Linked DNA regions of Mus musculus: regions 1, 3 and 4 are each reported to be linked to region 2. The links are microRNA targets in miRTarBase. Many come from high-throughput screens and were not tested one by one. Region 2 holds a microRNA gene; each other region holds the end of a gene's coding sequence.

What was found. Region 2 holds the annotated microRNA mmu-miR-24-3p (UGGCUCAGUUCAGCAGGAACAG, at 2,311-2,332, shown strand). A microRNA usually pairs through its seed, bases 2 to 8, with sites in the 3' UTR of a target mRNA and lowers its output. Matches are read on the target gene's strand: a 7mer-m8 pairs with bases 2 to 8, a 7mer-A1 pairs with bases 2 to 7 and ends in A, and an 8mer does both.
Region 1: miRTarBase lists Cplx2 as a target of mmu-miR-24-3p. Seed matches in the 3' UTR shown: 7mer-m8 at 3,003-3,009.
Region 3: the mRNA of Slc4a8 is a reported target of mmu-miR-24-3p. The part of its 3' UTR that is shown has no 7-base or 8-base seed match.
Region 4: the mRNA of AW549877 is a reported target of mmu-miR-24-3p. Seed matches in the 3' UTR shown: 7mer-A1 at 5,666-5,672.

Annotation. Positions count from the first base shown.
Region 1 is chr13:54,378,410-54,385,528 of GRCm38, reverse strand. Cplx2 (complexin 2) reads right to left here. Exons shown (of 4, transcript NM_009946.3): 2 at 6,830-6,948; 3 at 6,542-6,717; 4 at 1,612-6,017. The coding sequence starts at 6,860. The coding sequence ends at 5,820. The region is part of intron 1 of LOC115488208 (a long non-coding RNA gene); the gene reads left to right. Among named protein-coding and RNA genes, the nearest start is that of Cplx2, 11 kb to the right of the region's middle.
Region 2 is chr8:84,206,565-84,213,683 of GRCm38, forward strand. It overlaps Mir24-2 (microRNA 24-2), which reads left to right and starts at 2,251; the gene lies at 2,251-2,357. It overlaps Zswim4 (zinc finger SWIM-type containing 4), which reads right to left. Exons shown (of 14, transcript NM_172503.3): 14 at 4,378-6,241. The coding sequence ends at 5,382. It overlaps Mir23a (microRNA 23a), which reads left to right and starts at 1,954; the gene lies at 1,954-2,028. It overlaps Mir27a (microRNA 27a), which reads left to right and starts at 2,108; the gene lies at 2,108-2,194. It also overlaps Mir3074-2.
Region 3 is chr15:100,814,985-100,822,081 of GRCm38, reverse strand. Slc4a8 (solute carrier family 4 (anion exchanger), member 8) reads right to left here. Exons shown (of 25, transcript NM_021530.2): 25 at 1-6,463. The coding sequence ends at 6,451. It overlaps Gm41401 (a long non-coding RNA gene), which reads left to right and starts at 6,450. Exons shown (of 3, transcript XR_875664.3): 1 at 6,450-6,940.
Region 4 is chr15:3,979,685-3,986,803 of GRCm38, forward strand. It overlaps AW549877 (expressed sequence AW549877), which reads right to left. Exons shown (of 6, transcript NM_145930.3): 6 at 2,351-6,795. The coding sequence ends at 6,512. Among named protein-coding and RNA genes, the nearest start is that of Fbxo4, 3.7 kb to the left of the region's middle.

The DNA.
Region 1 (7,119 bases), not on the chromosome of region 2:
GGGGGGGGGGGGGCTCGGGGCAAGGGATGGAGGATATTCTCCAGCCAACATCCGGCAACTGCATCTTTCCAGCAACTGTGTGAGCTTACAAGTGATCCTTGCTCAGCTGAGCCTCCCGATGAGGACCCCAGCCCTGGTGGCTGGCAGTTCGCTTGCATTTTGCTAGCTAGCATCCTTATGCAGTCCTAAAAGCATAGAATCCAGCTAATCTTGTGCCCAGACTCCTGACTCACAGTCACCGGAAGGCGACAAATGTGCTGCCCTCACAGAGACTGCCTTTGTGGGGGAGATGTGTGCAGTATCATACCTTAAATAGAGTTCACAGTGCTAGCCCGGTGAGTGCTTGGTACTTGATGATAAGGACAGGCGTGCAAAACACCACTTACTCTCCACAAGGGTGGAGGTTAGAATAATTATTGTCATCCCGTTTCCTGTGTGAGCGGACGCTCAGAGGGGTTAAGTGTCTCACTCAAGATGGCTCTGCTGGATGACAGTGCCTGTCTGTACGCTCGGGCTTTTATGGCAACACAAAGCTATAATGCTTTGTGCTCCGTGTGCTTGGTGGCAGACTGCTCTGGTCAAGAGACAGGCAGCCATCTCTGTCGGCTTTGCAGAGGGGAGTGACGACTGAGCTAGATCTAGAGAAGCTCCAGAATTCTTAGAGGGTACAAGGAGGGGCGAGGGCAACCATTCATTCCAGGTAGAGGGAGATTTATGCAAATGAGACGTGACATTGGATGTGGGGGTGGGGCTGAGTGCCCCTGGAACACCGGAGTGGGTGTGGCTCTGACTTAGCAGGTTGGAATCACTGGAGTCAATCACACAGGGACATTTTGACCATCTGGATGCTGTCCCCCCCACACCAGGGGTAGATACTATCCTGTAGGCAGGCTGAAGGTGCGGGGCAGGGGGTGACTTATTCATGTTTGTAGTTTAGACAGCTGCTCTAGCTGGGGCTGGGGTGCCAGGGAAAGGATGGGGTAGGGGGAGGTACAGCAGTCTGGGAGGACAGACCCATGCATTACATTAGGAAATACTGAGAAGCCAGGAGAAAGGGGGCCTCACATTGGGCTGGCTATGCGGTCTGACCAGAGGCAAGGAAGTGAAAGGGGTCTTAGCCTGAGCCCTCAACGAGGTGAGTCTGTGTCCAAGAGGAAGGCTGAGTGCAGTCCTTTCTGTGTGCCCTCAGCCTCCTTCCCGCAAGCCTCCCAGGCTCAGCAGGGAGCAGATGCCCCATCTATTGCAGAATGAACAACTGATAGACATTTGCCCATCTATTGTGTTCATGGTGTTCTTAGGATGCCCCCCTGCCCCACCCAAGAGTGGAGCAGGGCAGTCTGAGATGGAATGTGAGTGAGGGTCAGCCTGCATCCCACCCCCACCCCCCAGGATTGTGGAGTTGGCCTTGGGAAATAGATCGATCCTGGAACTTGGGCCAGCCCTAACTCTGGCCTCCATTAATCTCTGAGGTCTTTTCCACATTGTCCTGGCTGGAAGCTGTGGGTATGACTGAGAGTGTTTGGTGCATCCTTAACCATTGGTGTTAGTTGACTCCCATCACCGGCAGTGCTGACAGACAGACAGACAGAAGAAAGCAGACAGATGGACAGCTGCTGTACAAGGTCTTTTTCTTTGTCATCATGGTTGGTTTTGTACATCATCTTAGCATTTGCATCATACAAAGTGGGGAGCACGGCCATGGCTTTTGGTCAGGTTCAAGGGAGTTCGGGGGGCGTGGCCCTCCCCTCCCCCAGAGACTGACACATTTAAAGGAAGCAGAGCAACAAGGACACAGCACAGTTGTGGGAAAGAGGTTCCCCTACATGAGCAGGATGGTCCATCTCACCTGGGTCTCAGTGGGACTTCCCACTCCCATCCCGGGGCCAGCAGGAGCACCTCAGGTCTCTCTCCCTGGTGAAAGGGCAGGGCATTAGGAATGGGGACTAGAGCAGGGGACATTGGCCGGGAGGCATCCCCCATGGGAGGGAGTCTGATCCCCAGGTCTCCCAGTGAGGTCAGGGGCTGGCCAAACCACAGGAAGATGGAAGGGGAGTTGTGGGTGGGCAACTCTGCTCACTTCATAGTGGGCACTCTCGGGGCTGGAAGCCCCATGCTTAGCCCCCCTTACTCTAGCCATGGGCCTTTAGATGGCTGGTTTGCTCACCAGCTCTGCCATGTGTGAGGGGTCTCTGGGCTTCTCGTTCCTGTTCTCATTTACCTACCTGGGATGGCCTATAGAGCTCCTACTTCCATGGAAGGAAGCGCTGTGGAGCTTTGCTGCTAAGGGCTCACTCTCTGGAGCTGAAATGGGGGACATGTACCCTGGATATCCTGTGTCATCTTCACAGAGGCCCAGAGAAGCGCTCTTTCTTTTCACTGCTGGTGATTTCCAGGTGTAGGAGCCTGATGACCTTCCCAAAGAGCACACATGCCTGTCAGTGATGTGCCTCATCCCACTCCAGCCATCTTCCATGCTGTGTGTGTGCATGTGTGTATGTATGTGTGTGTATGTGTACATATGTGTGTATATGTTTGTATATATATGTGTGTATGTATGTATATATATGTGTGTGTATATGTATGTTTATGTATGTGTATATGTATGTATATATATGTGTGTGTATATATATGGATGTATGTATGTGTGTATATGTATGTGAGTGAATGTGTGCATGTATGTGCTATGTGTGTATATGTATCCTTTCCAATGCTCAAGTACCCAAGTTCTGCCCTCCCATGCATGTGTGGTACACAGCATCCTTCCAGGGTTGCCTGTTGTTTTCTCCCTATAGCCCAGGCTATGTCAGAAATATCAATCATTACATCTCCCTGGGCTTTGTGTGGGTGGAACCAGGTATGTATCAAGTAGAAATTCTCTTACCTCCACCTTCAAAGGACCTCAGAATCTGCTGTCTGGGCATAGAAAGGAGACATAAATCTAGACTAAGCCAGCCCCGCCTGGGGGGCACTGGGTGAGGCTGAAAAGCCCTGAGCTCGCTCTGGGCTCAGAGGAGCCATGGAAACCACCAAGGACTTCAGTTGAAGGGTCTGGGCTCTCTCAGGACCATTCGGGTTCTTGCGTGGCTGGGTTTCCTTGCCTATTTGCATCTCTCCAGGTCTTGGTCTCCACTACCCATCTGATGCTTTGTACTGTGCCGTTCATTACCTTTGAGGTCTATCTGTGAAGGGTTAGGCCTTTAAAACACTAGTGTCCTTCCCTGCCTTCAAGGTGTGTGTGAGGGGGTGGGGGTTGGGGAAGGGGAAGTCACACTCAGGGTCTAGGGAGGCCCAGGGCCCCTGGACTGGTCCCTGCCTGTCTCTGGCCCAGGACCCCAAGGCTCTGAAGAATGACCATCCTGCCCAGGATAAGAAACAGAAACAAGCAGACAATAGGGGTGCAAGATGGCTCCCCACCACAGACATAGACACAAACACTAGCCCCCTGTGGGATGACACAGGGGCCCAAGAGGGTGGGGGTGGGAGGAGGGTAAGTCCCGGGAGCTGGAGCTGCCAAGGCCCTGCTCCTTAGAGGAGGGAGAGACCAGGGGACTTTTCTGGTTCCCTACACATATGGATTGTTTAGTCTTATCTTTAAAGTATTGCGGTCTAACTGATATGGCTTTAACTATTGGAAACGGACAGGGAAGACGTCTGTCTTCTCTGAAATAAAAGCGTAAGTCCACTAAAATGGAAAACCTGCAGAATGCAAACTGGGGCCAGTGGGACAGGGGCTTCGGGGGAGGGCAAGTCGCCCCCTCCCGGGCCCCTGCTTTTGGGATAGGCCCTGGTAGGGGCCCAGCATGGCTTCCTAGGGTACTGCCTGGGTCTGTCCCAGTAGCATTCTGAGGACCTCAGGTAGGAAACCCCCAAGGGTGGGAGGACTCTAGGCCAAAGTAAGGTTTCCTGTCAGATGTGGCCATCTGTGACTAACCGTCTCAGGGTGGGGAGGAAGCATCTTACTCCAATTCTTGCTCTCTGAGAAAGAAGTTGTACGACTTATGCATACGACTTCCTGGTTTAGACCCACACACATGAACACCAGTCTTAGCCCACGTGACAGTTGTCTCAAGCACACATGTCTACAGCTAACATGTAACCTGTCACTCTTGACACACATGCCGTTTTGCAAGTACATGCATATACAAGCTAGCACATGCAATCTGAAAGCACACGAGATGGCTAGCACATACCGAGAAAATGAACTGGGACTCAGGCACACTACATCCCACAAACACATATGCACGAGGCACATCAGATACACAGCCTGCAACACAGAGCTAACACACACACATGCAATCTCAAGACACAGTCGCATCGAGATGTAGGATGGGCCTGCCGTGCATTACCCAGTGTGTGGGGACTCACACGCTCATCCCTCATTTGCGCCTCCCCCTCTGTCTCTCCATTTCTCCACAAGTCACAGAGCAGGAAGCCTTGACAAGGTGGTACGTGAGGACACATACCAGTCCTATACATCCCAGAGGAGAGCTGACCCTTGGCCAGTGGGATGAATGGACAGTCTTTTGTCAGGTGGCAATTGGCTTCTCCCCAGCTGTTTGGGGGCTTTGGCCAAGAAGAGTCCTCCTGGGGACAATGGGGACTTGGAAGCACATGGACAGGACATGGAGGGAAGGAGGGTGGACAGGAAATGGGGGCAGTTTGGATGTGCCAATGAGGAGCCTCATGGCACAGGCCACCACTGCCCGATGGCTCCAAGTATTTTCTGGGGGTCTGGGCAGCCCCTTGGCTGGGCAAACTCGGGCCTAGCCTGGCAGTGGGGTCCCAGGACCTAAGTCAGATGAGAGAGAAATAAGGGTGTTGCCCTGCCCTGGGTTCCTCCACAGATGTGCTAAAGTCCAAAGAGGATCCATTTGGAAGGAGTGGCTTGGCCGGGGCCGTGCTTCTTTAGGTCGGGTTGGGGAGAGGTGTGCTCCTGGCCAGCAGCGGCACCAGGAAGAGGAAAAGAGGAGAGCCCAAGCCTCCTGCCCAGATTCTAACCTGGCCAGACCCAGCTAGAGCCTCTCAGGGCTAGGCTCTCCAGGACAGGCTCCCTCTGAATAGCCTTCCTGGAGCCAGACCACTCAGTGCCTCTGCCCTGACCTGGACTCCCACTGGGGGGTTCAGAGGCCAAAGGTCAGCATGCTGGGCAAGGCTGGAATGTGTCATTACTTTGGCTGGCTGGGGACAGTGGTCCTCCTGGCAGTGGGGAGCATGAAGGAATGTATGGGGGGGAGTGTCACCACATTAACATAGACCATGGGCTTCTTCTGGAGGGACAACCAATGCCTTTGGCTCTGGGTTCAATGCCCCCTGCTAGAGTAAAGCTATCTTCTTCTTCTTCTTCTTCTTCTTCTTCTTCTTCTTCTTCTTCTTCTTCTTCTTCTTCTTCTTCTTCTTCTTCTTCTTCTCCTTCTCCTTCTCCTTCTCCTTCTCCTTCTCCTTCTCCTTCTCCTTCTCCTTCTCCTTCTCCTTCTCCTTCTCCTTCTCCTTCTCCTTCTCCTTCTCCTTCTCCTTCTCCTTCTCCTTCTCCTTCTCCTCCTCCTCCTCCTCCTCCTCCTCCTCCTCCTCCTCCTCCTCCTCCTTCCTTTTTCAAGCTACTTGGGAGTGAAACAGGACTAGAAACCCTGGGATGAAGGGTCTGTCAGGGACTGCAGAGGGGAGGAGTCCCTGACTAGGGTAAGGGGGCAGAGGTCGACTAAGGTTTTCCCCTTTGGAACTGAGACTTAACTGAATAAAAAGAAAAGAAAGACTAAGAACACCAAAAAAAAAAAAAAAAAAAAAAAAAAGTCATAACGTGGAAGGGGCCGGAGGAGGATGGGTTACTTCTTGAACATGTCCTGCAGCGGCCCTGGCAGATATTTGAGCACTGTGTCCAGGATGCTCTCCTCTTCCTCCTCCTCCTCGTCCCCACAGCCTGCAGGGATGGCCTTCTTGGGTCGGGTCAGGCTTCCCTCGCAGGGCTGTTCCAGGGCTGCCTTCTCCTCTGCCTCTTTCTCTTCCTTCTTCTTCAGCCCATACTGGGGGAGAGAGGACAGAGAGGGGCATGAAGTCAAGTCAGAGAGAACAGAAGGTTGGCTGTGTGTCTCATCAACACGTTTAAGCTCCCCCGGGAAAGCTGCCTTCCCTGGAGAACTGAGCCCAGTCTTTAGCAGGTGACTGATATAAAAGACCAGGACGCTGCCGTTTCTTTCAAAACTCGCACTTACCAATAATACCCCTTTATCCGTTTGAAATCCTCAAAGTTCTGAATGTTGAATGTCTTCCTACGGTCTGAGGCACATTTCTGTGACAGGGCTGGCTGGCTGATGGAAGGCTACCTGTGCTCTGCAGTGTGATGCTACTAGACACTAAATGAACGGCATACGATGGTGCGCCGTAGCTAGCGCTGCGTTTTCTACGTGCTTAGTTATGTATAATCCTTGGGGGCACTGTTGCGAAGACACTTGTTTTCCTGATGAGAGTAAGGCTCGGGGAGAATCAGGTCTTAGATGAGATCTGGGGTTTAGGGGAGTCAGAGGTGGGGCTTGCAAGGGGTGCTGACCTTGTCTCGGATCTGCTGCCGGACCTTCTCGCGCTCGGCTTCCATGCGGGCGTGTTTCGCCTTGCGCTCTTCCTCCTGCTGCCTCAGGGCCTCCTGCCGCTCCTCCTCCTTCTTCTGTGCGTCTGGGTCCTTCTCCTCCTCTCCCCCCAGCATCTTCCCCATGTCCTTGGTGGCCCCTGCAGGGATGTGGAGTGGTAGGAGAGGAAGGGGGCGTGGTCAGTGGGGCAGGGAAGGCGGGTGGGTCGAGGGTGCGTAGGGGGTGGGGGTGAGGAAAGGTGGCAGGCTCACCTCCGAGGGCTTGCTTCATGACGAAGTCCATCCTGCAGGCTTTGGTTAATGCTCTCTAGCCCGTGGCTGAATTCGCATTCAGCACTCCTGGCTGGTCTGCCTTTGGGAAATGAGCCCACCTGCAAAAGGGGAGGTGGGGTCAGATGGAAAGGTCTCTTCCCAGGTAGGGTGTTAGAGACTGACGCAGGGCAGCCTTATTCTTGTTCTGACAAGGGATCACCAATTGAGAGTAAGGCTCAATGTCTTGAAGGAAGAAAGAAGAGAGGTATTTATTGAGACTGTATTATGGT
Region 2 (7,119 bases):
GAGTCAGATCTCGTTACAGATGGTTTTGAGCCACCATGTGGTTGCTGGGATTTGAACTCCGGACCTTCGGAAGAGCAGTCGGGTGCTCTTACCAACTGAGCCATCTCACCAGCCCGACCCTGATGTTTTATAAAGAAGACGTGTGTGTGTGTGTGTGTGTGTGTGTGTGTGTGTGTGTGTGTGTGTTGTCTGGTCTTTGTGCATGACAGTGCAGTACACTCAGAGACCAGAAGAGGGAGTGAAATCCCCAGAAGCTGGAGTTACAGGTAGTTGTGACAGGTGCTGAGATCCAAACTCGGGCCCTCTGCAAGAGCAGTAGCCACTCTTAACCACTGAGTCAGCTCTTTATCTGAAACAAGGTCACTTGTGTCACTATGTAGCCCTGGATGGTCTGAAACTCCCTACACAGACCAAGCTGGCCTTGAACTCTTAGAGATAGTACTGTCCAAGGCCTGGTTCTTGCTTTCCTTTGCCTTTCAAGTGCTGGGACTAACAGTGTGCACCACCATTCTTAAGTTTATTTTTATTGTCTGTTTGTGAATGTTTGCTTACGCGTACGTCTGTGCACCATATGTATGCCTGGTACCCACAGGGGCCAGTGGGGAGCGTTGGAGCTCTTGGGAATGGAGCTATAGATAGCTGTGCTTGTCATGTAGGTTCTGGGAAAGAAACCTGTCATCTCTCCAACATTGAAATTCTTTAAACAATTTTTAAAAATTGTGTGTGTGTGTTCCCAAGTGCAGAGATCAGAGGACAACTTGCAAGGGTCCGTATGCTTTTCTTCTTCGTGGTTCTTGGGTTTGAGCTCAGGGCATTGGGCTCCATAGCAGCTCTGCTCACTTGCTGGATCAGCTTGCTGGCCCCTGAAAACTTTAACTGGCACGCAGGACACTACTCTACATTGGGTAGGCCCCAAATTTTGTGGCTTGCCCTGGTACTGGGTGCTAAATACCTTCTCTGTAAGTTTTCACTGGCCTTCCTAGTAGAAGGTTTGGGGTTTTGTTGTTTTATTTTTGTTTTTCTTCTATTTAAGACTAGGGTCTCAAACTGTAGCCCAGTTAGGCCTAAAACTCATCATGTAGCTTAAGCAGGCTTTTGACTCCATTCTTGGCAACCTTCCTGCCTCAGTTTCCTCAATGCTGAGATAAACGTGAGCCACCAACTGCAACTGTTGTAGTCTGCTTTACAGATGGGGAAACTGAGGCTTGGAAGGCCTAGGGGAAACTTTACTGAGGTGTTATTGTTGGGGTGCATCGGCCTGCTTCTCCTTGCTTGGGCCCTAGGTGGTGTGGGGTGGGGGTGGGGTTATGTCTGAGCTGGCTGGGGAGGAGAGGGCTGAGGTGGGAGGCCCTGGAGTTTCCTCCTGCCCTTCAGGCTTCTAGGAAGTGGCGCCAGCTGGGGTGAGGTCACTTCCTCCCTCCAACCGTCCACCTCCCTCAGCTTCCTCTCCATGGCCCCATTTGGCCTGCTTTGGGCTCAGGGCTGTGGGTGGGGATAGAAGCAGAGTGGGAAGCAGCTGGGAAGGCTCTGCAGCCCCTTTGGCCTTAGGGCTTCAGGCACCTCCCGCTTTGTAGGGCTGGGGTAGAGGCACTGCTGGGTGCCCAGCATCCAGCAGCCTCGCTCCAACCTTCCTACGGATCGATGCTCCTCTTTTTTGGGAATGCTTCTTCCCTCTTGGAAGTAGAGGAGGGCTAGGGTGTGGATCAGCAAGCTGAGTTTAGATTCTGTCCCCAGCACCACTTAAACTGTGTGTGGTGAGGTGTACCTATAATCCTAGACTCCAGAGGTAGAGGCAGGAAGAACTGGTGCATTCGGAAACCTTGTGTTCAGCTATGTGAGACCCAGCCTGGTCAAGATAGGCAGGCAAGCAAGAATGCTCCAATCTCACTGTCTCTTCTTTCTCTCTTTAGGTGCTACACTCCGCTCCCACCTGCTGCCCCCCTCACTGTGCCTCGGACGGCTGGGGTTCCTGGGGATGGGATTTGATGCCAGTCACAAATCACATTGCCAGGGATTTCCAACTGACCCTGTGCTCTGCCTTGGGGGCTCCTGTCGCCAAGGATGTCTGTCTTGGGTACTGGGTAACAGAGAAGCCTATCATGACAACTGGCCTGAGGAGCAGGGCTTAGCTGCTTGTGAGCAAGGTCCACAGCAAAGTCGTGTTCACAGTGGCTAAGTTCCGCCCCCTGGACCCCATCTCCTCAGGCCGCTGCTGCCCACCCTGCTCTGCCTCCTGGCTGGCAGGGCTCTGCCTCTCTCCGGGCTCCGCCTCCCGTGCCTACTGAGCTGAAACAGTTGATTCCAGTGCACTGGCTCAGTTCAGCAGGAACAGGAGTCCAGCCCCCTAGGAGCTGGCAACCCTGCAGAATGTCTGCCGTGAGCAAGACCTGGAAACAATGGGGTAATTAGTCCAACCTAAGCCCCGTTGTCTGCTGGAGGCTCAGCCTCTAAGCCTGCATCTGGGTGTCCACCTTGAGATTTCTGTGGTTCCCCAAAGCAGATAGATGGGCGGGTAACCCTTGCATTAAAAGCCAGTTATGTCCCCTCAGGGCCTGGAAGCCCTTCTTTTCCTAAGTCTGGTGGGGCTCAGGCACCACCCCTTATACATACCATCTTTGAAGTCAGTTACCCAAGAGGAAGCTGCTTTAGGCCCTCTAACGGTTAAATGCCAACTCTCTGCTTCCGGAAGAAGGCACTGACCTGATCCAGTGTGCCTAGCAATCCCATGGGGTCTGCAGCTTTCTGCTGGTGACAGCGAGGCAGGGAGCGAGGTCCACACAGGCCTCAGGATATGAACAGATCCATGCCCCCCCCCCCCATTGGCCTGTTGAAGTAATCTCCAGGCTTGGAAGTTAAAAAGTTGCCTACTACCCACAAATGAGACTGCATGCAGACTAATTGGAACTGGCTGAGTTACACTTCCCAGACCATACAGTGTCCTCTCCCTACTCTGGGCAGGGGCAAATCGAAGCCTGGGTGGAAGAACAGAGTTGAAAGCTTGTATTGAATGTTGTTCTCCAACTAAATAAAAGCTCCACAGCCTCATTCCGTAAGGGCTGACGTCTCTTCATTCCCGCCTCCCACATGTGTGTTGCTGGCTTTTTTCATTTCTCTTGAAACAGCATTTCTGTGTAGACCAGGCTGACCTTGAATCAAACTCCTCCAGTGTCTGGAGTTTGGGAATACCAGCTGCACCACTATATCTACCACACCCTGGGCTCCTAACCTGCATTGCACCTATCCCCAACCTTGCTCCACCTGCTTCTAGGAAGGTGTAAATATAGTTCTGTGGTCAGTAGGTGCTGCGACCTGAAGATCCTGGGATCCTTTGGGGATGGCTTGAACGGGAGGGATAACCCAGACCTGGGGTGTATGAGACCAATCTGTGGTCACCCCAGTTCCATGAGGGAGTATGTTACAAGAATGTACTCTGCCTATGCTGGGATGCACTGACTGGCAAGATGCCAGGGCTTAAGGACGGGCACATATGCGCGCACAGACAGACACGCGCGCATGCACACACACACACACACACACACACACAGGGCTTAAGGACGGGCACATATGCGAGCACAGACAGACACGCGCGCATGCACACACACACGCACGCGCGCGCGCCCGTCTACACACACACACACACACACACACACACACACACACACGCACGCACGCACGCACGCGCGCGCGCCCGTCTGCGCCAGAAGGGCTAAGGGGCGGATCGCCTCTGATCGGCTCCCTGGAGCAAAGGAACGCACCATGAACTATGGCCACACTCATAGTCACAGCCAGCTCCCATAGTGCCCCACAGAGGCAACACACACACACACACAGCTTCCAAGAGAACGGTCCTAAACAATGACCCTGTCAGACACAGCTAAGGACATAAAGAACCGGAGAATGAGAAGAATGCCCAGGCCGTCCGCTGGATGAATCCATCTAAGAACGGGAGTCTCATCCACAGCCCAAAAATGCAATGGGCAGGTCACTGGGGACACAGGCGTCCCCAGCTGCCCTCCGCACCTGGTGAGACCTCCGGAGCTCCGAATGACGTTGTCTGGAGCCAGACGCCCCCTGGTGGTCATTTCCTGCAATGAAGGACAGTGCAATCTGGGTGCATTTTCCAAAAACCTACAGACTCTAGGTTTGGGCGTTTTAAGCCTCCTGACTTGCAGAGATTATGACATGCAGATGGAAAAGCAGTAAAGCCACCAGCAAGAGGTGGCTCTTCGTGTCACCACGATGCCATGAAGAAACCAGCAGCCTCTCCTGTCCCATTCAAGTTGTGCCCAAAAACCGAGATGGAAAATTTTTTGGTTAATTGAGCAGGTGGTAGGTACCCCTGGCCCCGGGTGTTTGTGTTAGCAATGCAACCCAGTCTTGAAGTTAAAAAGAAGTTGTGTTCAATCTTTTTTTTAAAAAAAAAGGAAAAAAAAAGGAAAAGAATACAGTATGGGGTTCAATAAATAAGAAAAAAAGTTACAAAATGATGCCAACTTTTTCCTTAATATACAAGAGAGAAGACAGGTGCGTCTGGGGTGGAGGCTCTCCCTTCTCTTCCTCCCTGGGCCAAGGCCTGGGATACAGGAAGGCCTGTCAGCAGCTGGGACTTGAGAGAGATGCAGACATGGGGAAACTAAGGGAGTGGGGAAACAAATGGAGGTGCAGAGCAAGAGGAAGACAGAACGGGGTCCCTGGCTGTCTGCCTGTGCCTCCCACAACAGGCTGGAGGGCAGCCTGACTCCTGAGTTGTGTATCCAGTTACTAGTGGTGGGGTCTGGCCAGCAGAGAGCTGTCCCCAGCCTACCCTGTGACCTTGGTGCCCAAGAGAAGACAGGCCCTGGCTTGACAAGGGTATTTGGGGGTGAGGTATGTGGCAGAGGCCCAAGACCTCTTAATATCCTTCAGTGGGGTGAGGCATTTGTGCTGGAAAGCTGGGGCTGGGGGCGCAGGGCAGTGGGACAGGAGCCCTGAGCTGTGGAGAGGGGAGAAACACAGTGGGAAGTAACTACCCTGATGTGAAGTGCCTAGGCTCCGGCCAGCTCCGGCTCTGGAGCATCTGCTGCACTGAGTTGGAGGCCTAACTTCACTCTGGCCCAGCCCTTCTCCTGGAAGTCCCAGCTGACCCTGGGAGTCTGGAAGAGCCAGAGCTTGCTTCTTCCGTGTGAGGTGCCCAGGCACATACTCCCTGCAGGGTCTAGTTAGCAGTATGGCTTCGGATCCTCAGATCGCATGTCCCGTTTGTCTGCACACTCCTAGGCACACACCTGGAATGATGTCACCCTCTGCCTCCCACCTCTGTAACTTTACTGCAAGTAGCCATGGGCCTCCTGTTTGAGGAAGGTGGGCCTGGGACACCCATGCTCCCGGCTTTCTGCAGTTCCTCAGCCAAACCGTTCCCGAACCAACAGCATCAACTTCTTCTTTCCCTTGTACGTCTGTTTCAGGTTTTCTAAGAACTGTGCGAACTGGAGGTGCCCGTCTGGTGCCAGAAGGAAGGTCTCTCGAGCTTTGCCCAGGAACTCAATGAAGTCACCATAGTGGCGTGGGCTAATGTGGGTGAGGCGAGAGTGGCTGGTGGTTATGTACGCGGCTACTGCGGCATCCAGAAGCTGACAAAGTGGTGCCCTGTCAGTCCCTAGTGGTTTGGTAGCCCTGCGGGCCCCCAGTGGGCCCAGCCCGGGTGCTGAGAGTGTCCAGCGTCGCAGGATGTCTGAGAGCATGGGTGCACAGTGGATGCTTCGGATGATGAGAGGGACAATGGCCGACAATTCGTGCCGCCCCAGCGAGTGGCTGAGGGAGCAGGCCCACAGCACATCGTTGACTGCAGGGTGGCTGTCTTGGTTGAAGGCAATGCTGAGTTGTGCCAAGGCTAGCGTGGCCAGCTTGTAGGCCCGCAGAGGCAGGCCTCGATGCTCCATATACCGTGCAACCGTGAAGAGGTGGGCGTGGCCGAGGCCACCGGCTGCAGCGTCCAGCACAATCTGGTAGGCAGCCTCAAAGGCCGCGTGGTTCTTCTCACACAGGGTCAGGGCTGGCAAGGCGCAGTTCTGGGGATCCTTCATGGCGCACTGCAGTGCCAAGGTGCGGGCACAAGCCCAGAGCTCCTCTCGCCCAGCTGTATCTAGCTGCAGTCGCAGCAAAGTGGCATGCGTGGTGCCTGTCACTGCCACTATGGTGACCGCCTCCACTGGGGTGAACAAGGAGTACCAGTTCTTCATGATGCTCATCAGCGCTGGTGGGCCTGGGTGTGGGGAGAGGGCAGAGTGTGTATCTGTGCAGCCAGACCCTGCCCTTTCCCTTCCCACCCTACAACCATTGGCTCTGAATCCTCCCAGCTTCATCAGTTTTTTTGTTTTTTGTTTTTTTTTTGGGGGGGGGTGTATGTGAAGGGGTGCAGTTAATCTCACTCTGCAGCCCCACTTGGCCTCAAACTCAGAGATCCAACTACCTTTGCCTCCCAAGAGCTAGGATAACAAGTGTGGGTCATCACGCCCAACTAGTTTTTGTTTGTTTGTTTGTTTGTTTTTGTTTATAAAGACAAGGTCTCATGGGGCTGGAGATGCTTAGTGGTTAAGAGCACTGGCTGCCCTTTCAGAGGCCTTGGGTTTGACTCCTAGCACCCACGTGGTGACTTAAGCCAGTCATAACTCAAAGGGATCATCTGACCTCCACAAGTACACATGTGGCACACAGATATACATGCAGGCAAAACACCCATACATGTAAAATTGATTAATTAAAAAAAAAAAAGACCAGACAAGCTTTCACATAGTCCAGGGTTACCTCAAACTTGCTGTGTAGCTAAGGATCAACTTCTGGTCTTCATGCCTCAACCTCCCAAGTGCCGGGATTAGTCTTGTACCACCATGTCCAGAGAGAACACAGGGCCTGGTGCATGCCAGATCTGCACTCTATCAAATGAACTACACCCAGCCTTCCTTTTCTACTGCCACTGGGAAAGTCAGTCCCTGCTAAGCAACGAGTCTAGCTCCGAGCCATAGCTCTGGCCCAGAGTCTTGAGACAGGGTCTCATTTCTTCCTCAGCCTCCCAGTGCACGGATTCCAGGTGCACTGTCTTGTCTGGATAGGAAATTTCCCCCCTTTTCAAAGGAGCAAGAG
Region 3 (7,097 bases), not on the chromosome of region 2:
TGAGGGCGCCAGTGAGCCCTCAGCGTTGCAAGCGCGCGATTGTAGGAGCAAGAAAAACAGGCTGGGGACAAGTTAATTATCAAACAAGACATTCATTCCAGGTTGGGTCTAAGTTCCTTGATCTTGTGATCCAGAGGTGTGGCACTGGTTTCTGTGTGCACCATGAGAAGGAAGGTCATGAACGAAGAGCAGGGGACTTCACTGTGTATGTAAGAACAGAGAGAGAGGACTAGCCAGTCTAGCTGACCAAGACTTCAAAAACAAGATGCAAGACAGATGACCTGTTCCTTAGCAAACAAGATTGTCACCATCTAAGCACTGGGAGAAACATACTACTCTCTACTTGGTCTGCTTAAGCTTTGTTAGTCTATGACAAGAGAATTATTGCTTTGGGGTGGCAGTGAACTTGTGGAGAGAAAGACAGATGAGGAATGTAGAGTTAGGTCAAAGTTCCAAAAGAAGGATATGCAAGCAGTAATCCTGTTGTAATTTCAGTTTGTGTAGTGATTTTAACATGTTTTTCAAAAGTGTTTTGTGGTGACCACTTTTGGGTACAAACGAGCTGAAGGAGAAAACAAAGTTGTTGGAGCTTGCCTTGCTTCAGCCACTCAGTGTAGGATTTTCCCATCATTCTCTAGTCCTTAGCACCACAAGCAGCAGCTCCAGCGGCAGCTCTCTGAGCCGAATCCCATCAGCTCCACCATTGCTGGGTGAAGGGCAGGGCTCTGATATACAAGAACAGGTTCAATCACATAATATTACTACTGAACAATGTTGCTTGGTGGCTTTAAAACTTGGGACAAATTTGAGGGGCCCAGGAAAAAGACCACCTCATTTATAAAGATTATACAGGGCTTCTGAGAAGCCTTCACTGATTACAAAGATTAGTCTCAGCTGTGAAGGAAGCCGTACCAGATCAAGATGAAGGCAGGTGTTGATAGAGGCCTTAGTTGTTGAAAAGGCGAATAACCAAATGCAAAAAAGTTATCGAAACGTTAAAGGCTCGAGCAAGCGTCTATGGCAGAATGGATAAGGGATGTGATCGATATTGGTTCTAATGTGTACCACGCTAATAGAACAGGCCAAGCTAGAGCTAAAAATCTCTGACCTCAAAATACCCACCCAGTGCGTTAACTGGGAGAAAGACAGTACTTTGCAGCAGAAGAGTGAATCAGTCATTTCTAGAGGCAATGGTTTTCCTGAATCTGAAACAGGACTCGTAGGCTTCCTGCAATGTGTATGCACTTTGGCAAAGGCAGCCACTGGATTCCGGAATGCAGATCCAAAAGAGATATTCAAGGAAACAGCCTTGGGGGCCTAGCTTAGCTCCCCACCAAGCAAAGACTGTGAGCTGTTCCAGTCAAGCCATAACACGCAGACTAAAACCTGCACTCAGCACTGGAGATCTAACACCTCTGCAGGCAGTGCTGCTCTAGACTCGGCCACAGAAAAGCATTACTCTATATCCAAAACTTCGAGAGAGTTCGTGCTCCTTTGCCTGCAGAGACAGTGGGATGATCTTGAGAATAGATGGATTGATTCCCCAAGGATTCACTGTGCACCCAGGAATCATACATGAAGATTTCAAAGGAGAAATTAAAGTTATGGCATGTGTGTGTGTGAGGGAGAGGGAGAGAGATGCAAATTAATGCAGGTGATAGAGGCTTGTTCGGCTGCTACTGTTTCCCTGTCCCAGAGACAAAGCTGCTCCAGTAGAGAGAACAGGAGGGTCTGAAAGGACTGAAAAGCATGTGTTCCGGCAAACAGTTGTTAATGATCAGAGGCAAATATTAAAATTTCACATAAAAGGTACTGAAGTAGACAAATTTGTGGATACAGGCGCTGATGTAACTATCAGTTCACAAAAAAATCTTGGAATTCAGAATGGCCACTTTGGAAGGTTTATACAGTTTCTAGGAATCGGAAATTTATCTCAGATAAAACAAAGTGTGCAATGGGTGAAATGTGTGGGACCAGAAGGTCTAACAGGAAAGCTAAGACCTGATGTGGCTGATCTACCCATCAGTCTATGGGGAAGGGCTCTGACCGACCCATCAGTCTATGGGGAAGGACTCTGACCGACCCATCAGTCTATGGGGAAGGGCTCTTCTACAACTGTGCAGTGCTCAGATTAATATTCATGCAATCCTACAGGACAGGCAGTTGTAGAAAGATCTCATTTTACCTAAAGGAAATGCTTATAAAGCAAAGAGAAAAAAAGAGACAATTACTCTCTGCTAACTTTAAATTTTCTGAATATTAATGAGAAAGGAACAGCAGCAGTTGAGATACTCTGGGTTTTAGAAAAAAAACTGTGGAATTACATCAGCCTATGTACTGTAGAATCTCTTATTAGCATCTCTTGTCAATAAAAACCACCAATGGCCAATGAGCTGAAGCAAGAAATAGGAGGTGGGACAATGGCAGGAAGAGAGGATTCTGGGAGATAGTGAGACAAGGAGGAGGTAGTGAGAAGGATGAAGCAAGCCGGGACTGAGGAGAAGTAACCATGAGGATGACATAGAAGAGTTTGAATGGGTTGAATAGGTTACGAGCCAGTCATGGATGAGGCAAGGCTTCTGGCCAAGGCATTTAATAATAAGGAGTCTTGGAGTGGTCATTCCTGGAGCAGGGGCCGAGAGGAAAAACTGAATTTTTTACAATATAGAATAAAGATGTGTTAATATTAGAACAGAAAAGTTTTGCATTGGGGATGGGGAATTGTTTATACTTCCACAGGAAACGAAAAGCTGTGGATACCATCAAAACTGATAAAGATTAGGACCGAGCAGGAGAGGTCTCCTCAACACCTTGGCACTAACCTGAACACTCAGTTCCTTGAAAATGTCTGTTTATAATTTCCTGATATACACAGCACAATTAATGACTTAAAACAGAAGTGGGGAATCGTGGTGAGAACTCTGGAATTCTGGTTTCTTTAAAAAACAAATATAAGAATATGTTATCATTTTAGTCCCCAGGTGTGGGGATGTGGGGCTGCTTTGGAGTGTCGGCAGCAGCTGACATGATTTGCCTAGTGCTCTAGCAGAAGTGTGGTTTTGCCAGCTGCAGACAGTCTCTGGCATTGTGTCAAGTTTTGGAATTCTAGGAACTTTTCAGAAAGTCTATAAATGCTAGGCTCCCAAAAAGCAGGATGGGTGGTTGTTGGTTGTTTGGGAGTTGTGTGTGGTTGGTTGTGGTTTCTTCGTAGTGTTCAAAGAAGAAAGGAATTTAGATACAGGGGTGTCTCTCTTGATCTCGATCTCTCTCTCTCTCTCCCTCTCCCTCTCGCCCCCCGTTTTTGTCCTATCTAGTGTCAAGGAGTGAAACTGGGAGAGGGAGCAAAGGGTGAGAAAATAACCCACAAAGTAGCAAAGACCAGCTACACCCAGGTTCAATTAAATCCCCAGCATCCACATGGAAGCACACAGCTATTTGTAACTCCAGCTCCAGGAGGATCGGATTCCTTCTGATCTCCTGAAGCATGGGGGACATGTGGTGCAAAGGCCTGTGTGAAGGTAAAACACCCATACGATTAAATTACATCAAAAGATCTTCAGGGACATCGAGCGGCCCAGTGGTGGGAGACACACAGGAGACAGTGTGTCTGCTACTCACTACAACCCAGGACAAGTGGAGAGGCAGGACAGACACTGCACCTACTACACAGGATACAAGGAGAACCCCTGCCTCCCCACTAAGGAGCAGGTCTGCTGAGCTGAGCAGGTCAAGGAAAAGTGGAGTTAGGAACTGTCCTTTTCTGGACGATCATAAACCACAGACTCTGCAGAGTCTGGGCAGGCTGGGAACTTAGTGAATACCACATTTTCATCCAACATTAGTGAGTAATTTAAAAGTCTGCTCCATCACCGACAATGAGAAACCGCAACTGTCTTTTGGAGAGAGATGGTTCACTTTCCCTCTATCGGGAAGACAGGTTTTCATGGTTAAGGAGACCCAACATGGGGCTGGGAGTGGGAAAGTCCGGAGCCTCCTGACAAAGCTTCCCAAGTTGCATGTGTTATGCAACCAAACACACTTGGCACTTGCACATTCCGTCTCTCCAGCTCTTCACCTTTCTCTACAGCAACCCTTCCCTGATGGTCATCGGGAAGCAACTGGCCACTTAGGAACCCTCCATCTTTTCCCTCAGAGCCAAGGCTTCAATTAACGTGTTCTTGAGTCCCAGCCCCCCAACTCCACTCACACCACCAGCTGACATTACCAGCAAGTCATGACATTAGCTGGCCACATTCAAGACGTGTCTGAGAGCGACCCTTGTCATAGAAGAGATGACCAGTGCAAACATGGGCATGAGGCTCCACAAGTGCATTGCTCAGGGCGGGCGAGAGCAGCCTCCACCCTCCAGCCCAGGGCATAGCTCACAGGAGGCTGCACAAGCGTCATCGTGTGGGAAGAGTAAGTTTCAGTGACAAGTCACTGGCTCCCTCATACGTCAGGGTCCTCACCATTATGTCTCTCAAGTGCACTGAGGCCAGGGCAGGGTGAAGCAGTCATCAGTTTCCCTACACAGAAGGTGGCAGGAAAAACAGAGGAGAAACCAGTCCGGGAAGAGAGGGGTGTTCCCAGAGAATGCAAGCAGTGAGAAAAGACTCGAGTTCCAGAAGTGTGAGGAGGGCCAGGAAGGCATCAAAAACCTTTCCCACTGACAGGCCGGCTCCTAATCCAAGGTGGGCAAGGCTATGCTTATTAAATCTGTCCTCAAGTGACATGCTTGGGCTGTTTGGCTAACAGAGACTTGAATGTCCACTGATTTCTAGGAAACCCACCTGTTGCAGTATGTGCTACCTGAGAGCAAGCCAGGGTGGCTGCTCAGATGGAACGCACATCTCCCATGAGTAAAGACCAGACAAACCCACATTCCAGAGGCCATTCTGGGATCGGAAGCAGGGTCACGTTCATCCCACAGGCCCTGAACAGCAGTGCCCACCACTATTCTACAGAAGACACCGGCTCTGTGTGGCTCGTGTCTGTCCTGTATCAATTGTCAAATATCTTGCATCAATATGGCAGTGGTCCTGACAGGTAGGGAGGAACGGGCAACACGGGGTGGCCCCCGACACCTAAGACCTTCAGAGAAGGACTAGATGTTTCAGCGAGTCTGAGGGGGAGCAAACTGTGATCGAATGATGTAGAGCCTCTTCAGCCAGGAGAGGAAGAGAGCTCACTGTGTGTGTGTGGTCTCTGGACAGAGACTGTCCCAGCTCACTAGTCACAGTCTGGGCACAAAGGAAGGGGAGGTCTACACTTGCTCGGGCCAAAAAACTCATGATAGTTTTGGAACATAGAAAATCACACATATACTTTTAAACTAAGTATCCAAAGTGATGCCACCGCTTACAGCTCATTTCTTCGTGTGGCTTTTACACCTGAGCCAGAACTTGTCAACCAAAAGAAACCCATGATTAGGAAGTCACATGGCTGATGGCGGTTTGGGTCCACCGAGTGGATGATGATGGTTCTCCCGACTAAGGCAGCTAAGGGACATCCATGAGCACTCGGGTCTCTCCAGGGTGTTATAACAATGTCACCACGAGAGGTAGCAGCATCAAGTCAAACAGTTCACACAGAGCAGCCGCAGCAGCCCCGATCCACCTTCCTTCCTACAAACAGCTGTCAGCAAGACTTTCCTAGACTTAAAAAAACAGACCTGGAACAGATCTCCAGGCCTGGAAACCTAAGTGCTTCCATAGCAAGTTAGGCTCCTCTTTCTCTCGTTCCAGGGAAAGATGCTCACACTCCGAGCGCTGCTGGCTTCCCCTAGGCCTTTCCTGACATCAGCTAAACTCCTGCTCTCATGCTGTCCCCGCATCTTCCAAGGACTCACAACGTTATGCCCACTGCTTCTGGAGGTGATGCAGATGACCCCAGGCCAGAGGCAGCTCACTGTGGTGGTTGCTGTTGATGCCTGGATGGTGGAGCTCAGGCAGCAGACCTGCTACTGTGTCTGCCTGTCCAACATCCCCTTCCCAGGCAGAAAGGAAACCAAGGCACAGGCTGCTGGAGAGCCTGCCCTTGTCCTGCCTCTGCCACTACCCCAGGCTATCGTTCGGAAGAGGGAATCCTCTGTGACAGAATGGACTCGTGTGGCTTACCAGGCCAGCAGAGTATCAGAGAAAATGTCTGAAAATGGAAGCTGGCTCTTTAATGATGGCAGCTCTGAAGAGAGAGAAGGAAGAGGAAAGGAGGCAGCGGGAGGCGGCCCCACCATGACCCGACTGGCGCCTGGCTGCTGGTATGTGGGTAGCTGGATGTCCTCCAAACGCACACCGGGAGTGACTGAATGCTTCCATGTGGCATGGCTTTGAGATGACCAAGAACGGGGCCAGACTCAGCTCGGCTTCTTCCCGGAGAGACTCGCCATTTTGTTAAAACCCAGAACTTCTCCGAGGCACCTCATGGTCCAAATCTTCCACTCAGCAGAGACTCTCAGTTGAAGGGGCTGAGAAACAACGTCACAGTGAGACAAAGTGCGCGCTCTTTCTCTCAGCACTCCGAAGATGCTACTTGGATCTGGCTGTATTTTAAGTTCATTTACAAGTAGACTAATTCTCAACTAAAAATAACCACATGTGTTATACATCCCCACAGCTGCCTGGATTTTCCTCTGAGGGAAGCAAGATTCTGTGTTCACTCATGTTCAGCTCAGATCTATTTTAACCCATTCAGTGAAGAAGCTGCCACACCATGTGCTGGTGGGCACGACTCCGAGGAGCTCTCTGCTCCTGGAACAACCTTGATAGTACCCCCATCCTGCAGCTGAGCTGAACACCAGGAGCAGCAGCCTGCCCGGTTATGTGCGGAGATAAAAGCAGGGCGGGCCAGCTTTCCTGGTTCCTGACTTGCTTGTTTTTTAACAAAAACTGTTATCAGTATCAAGACATTGGAGTTTTGCCTTCATTTCTCTGATGATTTAAATGTAAGTAGTGTTTGGGCCAAAATCAGTAACTTATGCACTGCATTCCTTTAATGTAGGCAAAGCCACCTCCAATTTTCTTTAATAATCTGATTATAACTGATCTATGCTGTTATTATACAGAGAAATTTCTTTGCAGAATAAGAAAACTGTCATGTTT
Region 4 (7,119 bases), not on the chromosome of region 2:
CTTAAGCGTTAGATATTAAGTAGGCTGTATGTGTGCTTCTGTGTTTTGGAATCAGCAATCTACCACTTGGAGTTGAGCAAAAACTGAGCCCGTGGAGGCTATCAGGAGCCTTATGTGTTATTAAAGATAACCTTGGCTGACTAGAACATCGTGCTGTGGAGAAACTATTGTAGATGGGAAGCCAAAACTGCCTCAAGCGTAGCTCTTTTAATATTAACTTCAATCTGGTTTTGGTCTAACCTCATGAGGTTGGGTGAAACTTGTAAGCTTTGCTTAAAATTTTATTTAACTACATGTATGTGGATATATGCATGAGCACTCAGGTTCCAGCAGAGGCCACAGGCATCACAAACCCTGGAACTGGAAACCACACCCTTGAGAGCCACCTACTCAGGCCCTCTGAAAGAACAGTACATTCTTATAACTGCTGAACCATCTCTCAAACACCTGCCCCCTTTACCGATTTTAAAGTAAATAATGTTGTAACATCTGAAAGCCAGGCAAGATGTAGCCAATTTTATCTAGGCTGTGTACATAATGCCCTCATCAGCGTAGGTGGTATATGTATTTGATGTATGGTCTTTGTTTTGTGGCTATAATAGTTCTTGCAACTGCTTCCACAACTTGGTGTGCCAACCTGAATCCAATCTCTGGCCATGGCCACTCACATTTTGCTTGCATTTACTTCCTCAAACTCCATTATTAGGTATTTTCTACCAAAATGGTGAGTTTAAGCCCACGACAAAAATGTACATACACTAAAAAATTGTTCAATCAATGATCTATCATAAAAGGTCAGAAGAAAATTTGATAGGAAAGAAAAGCCTGGATGTGGTACTATTAAAAGCCATTAGTGAATTTTTAATCTTCCAAAAGTGATGTCTATTCTAGTAACTTTAATCATAATCAAAAAGAAATTTAAGAAATGAGAGGTAGGCTATATAACAAAATATTATATAGCACTGGATATAGTTTTAGGAAAGACACAAATACCTATTTGGTAGCAGGTTATCAGTCTCTTTAAAGTAGATTACCTCACTTAATCTAATCCCCAAACCCATTCCACATCTAGACTTCATCACGGGAATACTTCGGATTTAGTAGTCACGTGTTAAATTCTTTAAAATCTTTTAGAATAATCTAGTAAGGATCACCACGTTATAACCTGAGGTGTAAACCTTGTTCTGGAGAACATGGAAGATGGGCGGAGCCCACATAATCTATCTCAAAATCACTGTCAACCTTTAACCACTTACTATTCCAAGATGGTTTGTTTGTGTTTTGCTTTGTTTTTTGTTTTTTGGGAAAACAGTTAAATTTTATCATCTATATACAACTGGTTTAATATCAATTGTCAAAACATTCTACATCTAGTCCATAGGATATTTAAAAATTAATACCATTTTACAATCTTCGAAGTAGAAGGCAAAGGCCACATCTTTTAAAAACACGCTAGGCTACAGGAAATAGTTGCTAGTATATAAATATGAAAGTAACACAGCAATAGCTGCATGTAACAGTACATAATGCTCAGTAGTGGACCCTAGACACTTTTCACAAGGGCCCTTCATTCAAAATGCAGTACCTGAAGCTCCAAATGAAAAGTAACAGACATTCAATAAAGCTGGAAGCTGGGCAACTGAGGGTCTGTCAGAGCATACATTTAAAAATGATTATTCTTTCCTATGACATTGCTCAGCAATGAGTAGGTCAACCACTTGCTCAGATTATCAGGACAAGGGGAAAGACTTATGAATTAATTACTTATATGGCCTTTCTCCTCTCTAAACTGTGTTTTGTATTCAGAGAAAGAAAATTAGCATAAGTCATTTTAAGTATGAAGAAATGAAAATGCCACTGCTTTTATATTACAAGGAAATGTGACTTATCTACTGAGCGAGGAAGAAATCAGCTTCATTATAGAATTGTTAAAACATGGCTCAGTACTAAGAGCTCCTCCTGCTTTTGCAGAGGATAGGAGTTGGGAGTCCCTCGCACCATCAGGTAACTTATAACCATCTCTAATTCCAATTCCAGGGGATCTGAGACTCTAGCCTCCACGGGCATGGGCCACATGCACCCACATGCACACACACACACACAATTTATACATACTTAAAAATAATTAAAAATATATACTATTTAAAGACAGAAAGACTTAGCAATTGACACAGTTCCAGTTAGGAAATGACAGGGTTGTGATTTACCTCAGGCCTTCTAGTTCAAGAACTCACAATCTGAATCATTATGCTACTCTCTTTGAAAGTTACTAGGACCAGAAAGAAGGTATTCATAAATTAGGACAGAAAAGTGATGCAAGAATAAAATATAAAAGAAAGTAAGAAACAAGTAGGGGGGTTTCGTTTTATTTTATTAAGTATATGTTCCAAAACACTGTAGCTGGAACATGTCACTAAAATTTGCAAAAACAAAACTAGGAAACACCGGCATAGTACATAATGAATACTTTTAATCCTGGCTATCTTAAGCTTATGTAGACATAATACTTTTATAATCTATTTCCTTTTATAGTAAATGAATGAAGGGTAAGTAATACTAGAGGACTATTGAATCCTGGACTCTGTGACAGATGAAATATCCTCATGGAGTTATAAAGGGGCCCCAGGAGACAAGCAATCTACAAGCAGACCAAGTTAGTAGCGGTGGGTATTTAAAATGTCATGAAGATAACTGGAAAACACCTTCAGACACAGTTCATACTTTAATGAACATCACAAGACTGAGCACAAGATTGTGAGGCTGGGAATGTATCTTTTATGGTGGCCTCTTAGTCATGACTTTCACCTTTTTCCACTGTAAGCAAAGGATAAGGGGATGTCATGATATGTGACTTAACATGAAATAATGCACAGCAGCCAGACAGCCTATAAACATAGCAAGAGAGACAGGCTCTTAAATCAAGTCTTAAAGTCTACTCCACATCAGAAAACTCACACTGAGTAAAGAGTGATAAACGTTTAAGGATTGTGGGAAAATCCTGTAACATTTTACATTTAATCAACAGCAGAGAATTCAAACCGAAGATAAATTTTCACTAGACGCAGGAAAGCAAAAGCTACCAAACACCAGCATGATATAATACATACGCTGTGTCTATATTAAGTACCTCTTACTGTAATGTTTCCATACAATGCTACTTCATACTGTGTTTAAAATAATAGGGAAGTAATACTAAAGACAGTACAGAGTTTTGGTTTCTGTGGAAAGATGTAATAACCGTATAGAAGATAGAAAAGGGAACTGGGCGGTGGACAGAAAACCACCTCAAGTGAATAAAGAACCCAAGACCTTTAGGCTGTAGGCATCAGAAACACCACGAATGAGAAAGCCATTAGATTCAATAAAAGGAGGTTTTAAGAGCCACTTCCTTAGGAAAATCTTCAGATGTACTGCATACACAAGGCATCAGAAAAAACAGGATGGAAATTGAAGACAGTGCTTAGATGGATCTTTCTAACCACTCTAAATACAATAGCACCATCTCCACGTCACAATAGTCCCCTACACCCTGCTAAGTGTGTTATCACTTGGCATACTGTACATTCTTCCTCCACTAAAAGCCTGTAACAGGAGGGTGTTTATATCCTCAGTGCCTAGGACAAAATATGGCATGTTGTAGGCACATATTAGCTATTGAAAGGGTCTATTATAGGCTTATTGTTATGTGGAGTATTTGTTATTTTGAGGTTACTTCATTCTAAATAAAACAATTTACTCATCAAGATTAATACCAAAAGATGTATTTTCCTTTTATAACACCACAGTAGAAAGTACTACAACTATTATGGTCTATAAATTGCTCTCCAATTGTTTGGGGTAGGGGAGTAAATTGTACAAAAAGCACCCAGAAATACCCTCATAATTGTATCAACCAGTGAGCCCCCAAAGGTCATAAAGGCAAAAATGGAAGTTCTCAGCTTGTGAAGACAGTCTTATTTTCTCAGGTTTAGTGTCCAGGTAACACTTGACTCCTCCGAGGAAGACATGCTCCCTTTTGCTATATCAACCACTGGTATAGAGGGCATGGCAGTTTGGAATGCAATAGCAGCAACCGTCTTGTGCAAAGTTTGGCATTTCAAATCATGCCTCATTAATTCAGAAGACATTACTACCTACCATGCAATGAACAGTGTGTGCAAAGATAAAATTTTAAGATATGGAGTTCGTTCAGTAGTAAGAAAAAAAATTACAACACATTGTACTGTGGTGACATGTGAAAGGAAGCGAGAAAATAAAGGAACATCTAATTTCTACTGGAAAGGGCTGAAAAAAGCCTTTAGACACAGTATTCCTAAAGGTACGTCATACAAGTAAAGTAATTTATCTGGCCACAAAGACCAGTCCAGCAATAATGACGTCTACAACGGTACTATGGTTGTAAAACATAAGTGCATTTGGGAAAGGGAGTGGAAGCACTTGATTAACTGATTATGATCCACTAAAGAAATCTGTGCTTCTAAAATTCACATTAAAGATTTAGAAAGCTACAATATTTTCCTAATAAAACTTGCTAAAATGCTAGGTTACATAAAAATCTTGGCTGTATAAAGACAGGCCAAGAGTTGTGGCAGGGATTGTGGAATCTCCCTTGGCTTCCACTGCTTATTCAGAATTCTGTTTATCAAAAAGGAACCTCGCATTTTAATGTCTGAAAACCGTTGGTCTAGAACACAAATCAGAGTGTGTGCAGAAATAAGGATGGAAAGTAGGCCTTCTATTTGCTTATTTGGAAAACATACAAAATTGGAGGGAAATGAGGCAGAAAAGATTTCCATAAGAGATAAAAATTTGTTATTTGCTCATATTGAACTTAAAATGACCATGCAGTCAGTATTTGTCAAAGTGAAGACATTTAGCAGTCAATTAAAAATGAAATTCAGAGAGCAAGGAGAGTGGGGTTCCAGTTCCTGGCATGGAAACCAGCCTAACATTATAGGTGGCATAAGCCATGATGGCAGTGAGAAATACTGCTTGCCATGAGTATTTAGAGTAAAGAGAAAAAGAGAAGGAAGAGAATGAAACTTTCATGAGGACAGGCAGAAAATGAGAAACTACAGGAGAAAGAAGAAATAACAAAGATCAGTCTTCAACAGAAATTAGGCAAATTCTTCTCCTTTAAAACAGAAAAATGCATAAATAGAGTTGACTCCCTCATAATCTAAACTTCCTGTGGAAGAGCAAGGGTAGAGGTGACTAATGAACTTTGACTCTACCATGGTGGGAAAAGGGGAGGCACCTTAGTAGCTTTGCAGTTAGGATTGTTAAGTGAAGTCAATGTGTAGCAATACACTTTGAAGGATTGCATGCCTTCCATAAAACTTAGTCTCCTAAGAATGACTGGCTGACAAGATTAATGCAGTGCTGAGAGCCTGCCAAGGATGATGCTGCCAAGGAGATAAAATAGGAGAGGAAACAAGGGAGGCCAGTATTCATGTGATGATGCCCCATGAAGTAGGGGGCAAAAAAAAACATGAAAGAGGTCGCTGTTCAGGAGTTAGAGCAGTCTAGAGAAGCCCGTGAAAAGGTTGAAAGCTGTAGAATGAAAACAGAAAAACCAATGAAAACAAAGAAATTTTAAAAGCTGAAAAGAAGAGAACTGTCATCAGTTACTAAAATGTAAGACTTCAGAAAGAGAAACTGAGTGTGGCTCATGCTTAGATTCAGTTACAGAAATGACAGGAATGTGAAGATGTCACTGGGACAGAAGTCTAGTGCATCGGAAGACTTGAGGTAGGCAGAGAAAGGTGAGCAAGACAGCAAACTAGGCTCTTTGGCCTTCAGCATTTCAGTCTTACTGAAAGGCAAAATATGTGTAAAGTTCATTATATGCAAAGATGTGCCCTACAAGCATCTGAACTAATGGTGGTCTCATCTATACTGAATTTACCTTCTTTTTGGAGTAACCATGCAGTTTTTGTTTTAAATAAAATAAAATAATTTATAAAATGGATAAGTAAATTAAGTATTATTAGTAATGCATGGCAAAATAAATAAGTTTCATCTTTTAAATCCTTTGTTGTTTAATTACTGGAAATGAAATCTAAATATTAGTCACAATATTCTAATTGCCTACATTTATAGCTATACTTTATATTTGAAACAAGGAGAAAACCTGATTTCCATCTTTGAAGTATGCATACTTCAAAATAAGGAGATTCTGTGTTACATATATTTTAGTACAATAAAAAATATAACCTAAAATATTAGAAAACAACTGTCCATCTACATTGGGTTCCTCCTTACCAGTGGCAGGTTTATATGTAGTTCAAGTTCAGTTAGAATGGCATATATGCCATTCTAGAAATTAGAGAATATTCTTCACAGACCTAAGACCACTCAGGGAAAGGTGACAGCATTAGAGAAGCGTAGTGCACTGGGCACCTTTATGTAGTGTAACCGTCTCAAGATCAGTGTAGTACATCTCCTTTGTCAAAGCCTTCTTCCCCACTTCAGCATCTTTATGTATTTGAGTTGAGACCTAGATGAACACCTAGCTACAGCGCTGCTGAAAGAAACTTAAGATTTGCTTTGCGTTTGCGGTGTTCCACTCTTGCTCCTTCAGAGGTCCTTCACACACCGACACATACTTCTTCAAAATTTTTTCTCCTACTTCTCGGAAATCCAAGGTTTCTTTGTGTGTGGTGCAGCTTGCTCCAAAAACATCAGTATCAACTTCATGGTTTTCTGACTGCTGATCTGTGCAGTGCTTTAACCCCCAGTAGCACATCTCTCCACTGTACATCATAGCCAGCACATGGATGTCACTAAAGACTCCTGGGAAGGACATTTAGAATTCAGTTCTTACAACACTAATAAAAGCTCTGACAATAAACCTTTGTCATACCACTTACTAGCTTGGAGAAGGCCACTCTCACTAGCACAGGCCTAACTTAGTCAGCACTTCTCTTTTTCCTAGAAGCGTTCAACCCCCAGACAAAGCACACTACTGTCAAACAATTTTAAAACCATTTAAGTGTGCGTACTTAACATTTTAGGAGCCTCTTTTAGGGCCTTTTTTGAGAATTAATTTCACTGGTAGAGCCCTTCTAAAATAATACGTTAAATTCTGTATACTATACAATTCTAAATTATCACAGA